Coturnix japonica: one gene and its partner. The protein of the gene in region 1 purifies or fractionates together with the protein of each later gene. This does not show direct contact. Links are inferred from orthologs where the notes say so. Each region holds a gene or a part of one and is shown in the gene's direction. Other genes may lie near its edges.

Region 1 (2,478 bases):
AGGTGATGTCACAATGCCGCTGTCCCGTCCGCCAGCAGGTGATGTCTGCCCCCGGCCCCGTGATTAATGCTTCCCAAAGCACTCCACTTTACAATCTCTTGTAATTATTTATTAAACGAAATCTATTTATTATTATTTTAGCAAACAGCGGTACCAGGTGGGGCTTTCTTTCCCTCTCCAGCTTTTGTTTGAAGGACGTTTGAAGTGGGCAGTCTGAGCCTTGCAAACTCGCTCGCCAGATTTTTTTGTCATCCAATTGCACAGGCACAAAAAAAAAAAAAAAAAAAAAAAAAAAAAAAAAAAAAGGCCCCTCCGGGTCCTCCCTATTCATCCCCCGCCGCCCTCTCCTCAGCCCCTACGCGAGGGCCGCTCGGGGCCGCACGCCCCCACCCCTCGGCCCCGCTCCGCCGCTCCCCGACCGCCGCCCGCGGGGGAGCGCAGCCGCCACGCGCCCCTGGAGAGCCCCAGCGCCCCGCGCCGCCTCCCCCCCGGGCACGAACCGCGGCCGGGGACCGCGGGCGAGCGGAGGGGAGAAGAAGGCGGGGCCCGGCCCTGGGCAGCGCCCCCCGCCCCGGCGCGGTCCGGCACGGCCAACGGCGGAGCTGTCGTCCCCGTGCGGGCATCGCCGCGCCGTTTTGGTGATGGAGCAGGGGGCTCCCGCCCCACCCGGACTGCGCCCCGAGGCCGGACCCGCCCGCCACACCCGAGGGCTCCGTGCTGCGCGGGGGGCTCCGGCCCCGCCGTCCGTGGTCCCGCGCACCGCGCCGGGCGAACGAGGGCAGGGAGGGAACAGCTCCCCGCCGCTCGCCGCCGTCCGTGCGCAAAGCTCCGGAAGCATTTTGCGCACCGAGCCCCGGCGGTGGGGCTGCCCTCCCCGGGCCAAGCGCGGGGCCGGCGGGGCTCGGGGGGCCGGGGACACTTCGGGGGGACCCTTTCCCGGCGGGAGGCATCCCTTGTTTCCCGGGGTGCGGCGGGAGGGCGACGGGAGCGGGCAGCAGAGAGGGCTCCCCCTCGGCCTGGCGCTGGCGATCGGAGCCTGGGGGGCGCGGGGCGGGAGGGGCTGCGGGGGCTCTCGCTCGGCCGGGCCGGGGCTGCGGGCGGTGCCGGGCCGGCACGCTCCCGGCGGGCTGATAAGATAAAAGCGTGCCAAGGGGTGGGTGCGGGCGGGGGGGCGCGCACGCCGCCCGACCGGGAAATCCCCATTGTCTGCCAGCCCTATATATAGGGGCTTAACGGCAGTCGTGTGCCGGCCGTGCAACCCGTGCTGCCCGCGCTCAAGGGACTGCACGGGGCGGTCGCGGAGCCTTCCCCGAGGGAGTGCAGGTGCAGTCGTCGTCGTCGGGGCGCAGCGGGGCCTCGGGGCCGGCTCCCCGCGGGCCGACGCCGCTCGGCTTCGCACGATGGCCCCTCAGAGCGACCGCACCCCTGGCGCCGGGCAACCCTACTTCGGCGACCCCGACGCCTCCGCATCCCCGGCCGCGGGCGGCTCCGCGGGCACGGGCAGCCGGGGCGCGTCCCCCGCCCGCAGCGCGCTGGCCCCGCGGGAGGCGGCCCGCAGGAAGGGGTTGGGGAAGGCGCGGCGCGGCCGCGGGAAGGCGCGCGGCGAGGGGCCGCTCAGCAAGCAAAAGCGAAGCCGGCGCATGAAAGCCAACGACCGGGAGAGGAACCGCATGCACCACCTCAACTCCGCCCTGGACGCGCTCCGCAGCGTCCTGCCCACCTTCCCCGACGACGCCAAGCTCACCAAGATCGAGACGCTCCGCTTCGCGCACAACTACATCTGGGCGCTCACGCAGAGCCTACTCTTGGCCGAGCAGGGCTTACCCGAACCTCCCCCGCCGCCGCCCCCCGCCGCCGTCGCCGCCGCCACCTCCCCCGGGCCCTGGGGCTCGCCCTGCCCCGCCGCCCCACCGCCCGCTGCCCCGCGCCGCGGCCCCGCCGCCTTCCCCTCCTTTCTCTGAGCGCAGCCGGGCCGCTCTCCGGCGCTGAACAGCGCCCGAGGGTCTCTTCGCGCACCTTGCGCCGGGGGCGACGGCTGGGCCCCCGTCCCTCCCCGTCCCGCCTGGCGAAGCAGGACCTGGGTCGGGCGGGCAGGCACAAATCACGGTTTTGTACTCGGAAACGGTAAATTATATTAATTTGTCGCTATCTGTATTTATTGATTATATTTCGTAACAAATATATATTTTGTATATAAGAGTATTTTTGGCAGCGGTGGTCCGTATGTTTGTACCGCTGAAGGGGCCGCGAATGTATTCTTTTTCTTATTATTTTTTAGTTACTATTGGAAGAAGAGGAGAATAAAGTGTGTCGCGGTCAGACCTGTGCAACCCGCTGCTTTCCTTTCCAACAAGATCTTTCAATATCGCGCGCAGTACGCGCCTGGGAAGACAGCGCCGGCCGCGAGGAGGCCTGAGCACTGTGTGTGCTCAGAGCAGCTCAGCGGGGTCCTGCGCCCTTGAGCAACCCTCCGTGCGC
Region 2 (3,650 bases), on another chromosome or scaffold:
GCCCGTCTCTGCCTTCACACAAGCAGGAGGGATTCTTAGAGCCTGCAAGTGGAGCTGGGGCAGTGCTTCAGTGCTGTAGGGCTTATGGTCCCTGTCTTATGGATTGAGGCTGTCAAAGGGAGTGCAGGGAAGTGCTCTGTGCTTCCTGGCTCAGCTGTGCTCGCAGTGTTAGATGTGTTGGGATGCCCGTGTCTGTGCTGCACGCTGTGACCTGCTGCCTCGTGTCTGTGTCCCTGCAGTTATCGCTGCCCATGGAGTCGTCCCGCTCCGACACCTCCAACATCCGCCGCTGTTTGGCTCACAGCCTCTTCATGAACGCGGCCGAGCTGCAGCCGGACGGCACCTACAGCACCGTCAGCTCCCACCAGCCCGTGGCCATCCACCCCTCGTCCGTGCTGTTCCACTGCAAACCCTGCTGCGTGGTTTACAACGGGCTGCTGCACACCAACAAGTGCTACATGCGGGACCTGTGCGTGGTGGACGCGGACTGGTTGTATGATGCAGCACCTGACTATTTCCGCAGGAAACTCAGAGCAGCCAAGAACTGAGTGGGGCTGCAGGGCTCAATACAGGGCTCAGTGCAGGGCTCAGTGCAGGGCTCAATGCAGGGCTCGGTGCAGGGCTCAATGCAGGGCTCAGTGCAGGGCTCAGTGCAGGGCTGGGCTGTGATCTGTGCAGGGACAGCGGGGTTTTGCATCGCAAACAGGTGTAAAACTGGGAGGAAAATGGCTTCTCTGTGAGAGGCAGCACTCATGGCAACCTGTGGCTTTGAACCATCGTGGTGTTAAGAGCTGCTGTGTAAAACGGGACCTGCTTTGTGCTGGTGTTTAACATTGAGCTGTAATGGATGGGGCTGGAAGGAAACGAGCCCAGCAGCTCCTGCAGCAAACTCTCTATTTGTTGATGGTTCAGTTTGTGTTCCGGGCAGGTTTTACCGATGGAAAATAAAGACAAATAAATAAATTTCTACATACAAGGAGCAAAATCAAAGTGCTGTTTCACTGTCAGAATGGAGGTGCCTCATCTGTCCGCTCGGAGCGCTGCTCAGCGCGGCTCCCCCCGCCCGGCTCCTCCTTTGGAACCTTCTGGTCTCTCCCCCAAGGTCACTCCGCGTTGTATCTCGTTCCCTCCCCTTATTACCGGGGGCGGAGCTCCGGAAGCGCCCCGATCCCGTCCGGGTCATTCTCCTCCTCCTCGTCCCGTTTCTCGCCATGCTGCTCGCTCGAGCCCTTCGTTCCGCCGCCTCGTTCCGCCCCGCTCTGTCCCCGCTCCGCTCGCTCTGGTCCGTCCCGCAGCCGCTCCCGGCTCGTTCCCTGTGGCAGCGGAGCGATGTTGTTGTTGGCTGGAGGGCGGCGCTGCTCAGACCGCGCCGGGGAACTGCGGGCGGCGTGTCCTGCGGCTGCGGCGGGCTGCACACGGAGGGTGAGTCGGGACGGAGCCGCACGTGGTGATGGAGGTGGGGGTGGATGCGGGGGGTGGTGCCGGTGCTGAGCGGTTTCTCTCTCCCCGCAGGGGACAAAGCGTTCGCTCAGTTCCTGACGGATGAGATCCAGGAGGAGCGGAAGATCCAGAAGCACAAAGCGCTGCCCAAAGTGTCGGGCGGGTGGGAGCTGGAGGTGCACGGCACCGAGGCGAGGCTGGTGCGCAAAGTCGCCGGGGAAAAGTGAGCAATGAAATAACGAACGGGAGCGATGCGAGCGGGGCCTTCCCGGCTGTGATGGTTTAACTCGTGTCCTTTGTGCAGGATCACGGTTACCTTCAACATCAACAACAGCATCCCGCCCGCTGTGGATGAGGACGCGCCGGAGGAGCAGAAACACGAGGAGCAGGAGGAGGTGAGCACAGCACAGAGCCAGGGGACCACAAAGGGCCGCCGTGTGCTCAGTCTGATTTTGGGAGTGGGAACACACAGAGCAGGACGGCCCTGGGAGACCCCCATGGACCATCCCACCCCCTGCTGAGCACTGCGGGCACCTCGTGGCTGTGCTGGCTCCTGCTCAGCCCTCAGCACTGATCGGCTGCTTCTCTCCTTCAGCCCGATATCACATCGACTCCAAACTTTGTTGTGGAAGTCATTAAGGATGATACAAAGCAGACCCTCGTGCTTGACTGCCATTACCCCGAGGATGAGGTGAGCTGTGCTCTGGGTTCCTGTGTCTGCACAAAATGCTGCCTCCTTCTTTTCTCCTCACACAGGTTTTATCTCTGTAAGGAAACTGATGGGATGGGTTTCTTTCTGCTCATGTCCTGACCTTCTGATCAGCTCAATGTGTGGCATTAAGGGGGTTGTGTTCCCACCTGCAGGATGAAGCAGCTGATGGTTCCCTCTAATTACAGCTAATACATCCTGTGCCTCATTTCCTATTTCAGGTTGGCCACGAGGGAGAGGAAGAAAGTGACATCTTCACCATTAGGGAGGTCAGCTTCCAGCCCACCGGGGAATCAGATTGGAAGGACACCAACTACACCCTCAATACGGATTCCCTCGACTGGGTAAGTGCTGCTGATTTACATTGTACTCCTATTCCATCATGAATCATTTGCTCACCCTGTTGGAGGTGATATGGCAGCTATTGGCACCAAGCAGGAGCACCAGCTCTATGAGGAACAAGGGGGGAGCCCACAAGCCTAATTGTATTGCAGTAGTTAAGTAGGATTTGAAGCTGTGCTCTGCTAAGGCTGTTTTCTGTTCCTTGTTGCAGGCTCTGTATGATCACTTAATGGATTTCCTGGCTGACCGAGGAGTGGATAACACGTTTGCTGATGAGTTAATTGAGCTCAGCACTGCGCTGGAGCATCAGGAGTACATTAAATTCCTTGAAGACCTTAAAAGCTTTGTTAAATGTCAGTAGGGAAGGAAAGCAGCGTTCAGTGTGGGCATTACACAGCAGTGCTCCACCAGCAGAACCACAACGTATCTTCACAACAGAGATGGAGTAACTGAATTGGGAATTGAGCATCACGGGACAGTGAGGGGCCTCACTTGTATTTATGCTACGTTGCAGCCCAGCTCAGGTTCTCAAACAGGACTGTCTGGACCTGCCTCCCCCTGCTGCATTTTGTACCATTAGGAATGAAGGTGAATAATAAAATGTGTTCAAAACTCCCTGAAAAGTAGTTGTTTTTTTCTTCATGTTGATCAGTTGCCATAAGGGATATCTGTGTGTTCCCTGACCTGAGAAGTTAATGCAGCTGCCTGCAGAGCTGGGCAGTGTTAGGCCAGTTTTTCTCCAGGGCTATTCTAGCCCAATCTAGTCCATCTGTACCTGTTAGTATCAACGCATCTGCTCTAGAAAAATACTGCAGACAAGTTGGAGCTCTTTCCTTGCAGTAATTCAAGTCCTGTGGATGCTGAACATCAGCAGCATTGCAGAGCAGCAGATTTGGGCTTCTACTCAACCTGCTGCGTCCAGGTGATGCCTCAAGGTCTGAGTCAGCCCCAGTGGCAGAGCAGGAGATGCTCCCGCACCATGCAGCCATGCATTAAAGAGCTGCCTCTTATTTCAGCTTGAAGGCAGCCAAGGACAGAACAACGAGAAGAGGCAGAATACTTTGTGACTATTGATCAACCTCCCTGTTGATTCCAGGGCAATACTTAATAGTCCTGAGTGTAGTGGGTAAGATTGTAAGGAGGAACCTGCTTTTAGAAC

Evidence for each region. The genes of interacting proteins can lie anywhere in the genome.
Region 2: the proteins of NEUROG3 (region 1) and C1QBP purify together in Homo sapiens (affinity purification with mass spectrometry; 3 studies listed by BioGRID and IntAct, counting the BioPlex papers as one, with this or other methods). This does not show direct contact. The link is inferred for Coturnix japonica from reciprocal best matches to the Homo sapiens genes NEUROG3 and C1QBP.

The regions. Positions count from the first base shown.
Region 1 is NC_029521.1:8,931,524-8,934,001, forward strand, and holds NEUROG3 (neurogenin-3), read left to right. Parts: upstream 1-1,400; coding exon 1,401-1,961; downstream 1,962-2,478. UniProt on the Homo sapiens protein: Acts as a transcriptional regulator. Together with NKX2-2, initiates transcriptional activation of NEUROD1. Involved in neurogenesis. Also required for the specification of a common precursor of the 4 pancreatic endocrine cell types.
Region 2 is NC_029534.1:2,454,461-2,458,110, forward strand, and holds C1QBP (complement component 1 Q subcomponent-binding protein, mitochondrial), read left to right. Parts: upstream 1-1,163; 5' UTR 1,164-1,211; coding exon 1,212-1,422; intron 1,423-1,512; coding exon 1,513-1,663; intron 1,664-1,744; coding exon 1,745-1,835; intron 1,836-2,035; coding exon 2,036-2,131; intron 2,132-2,370; coding exon 2,371-2,493; intron 2,494-2,702; coding exon 2,703-2,852; 3' UTR 2,853-3,114; downstream 3,115-3,650. Other genes in the region: ATP-dependent RNA helicase DHX33, read left to right, coding at 240-548.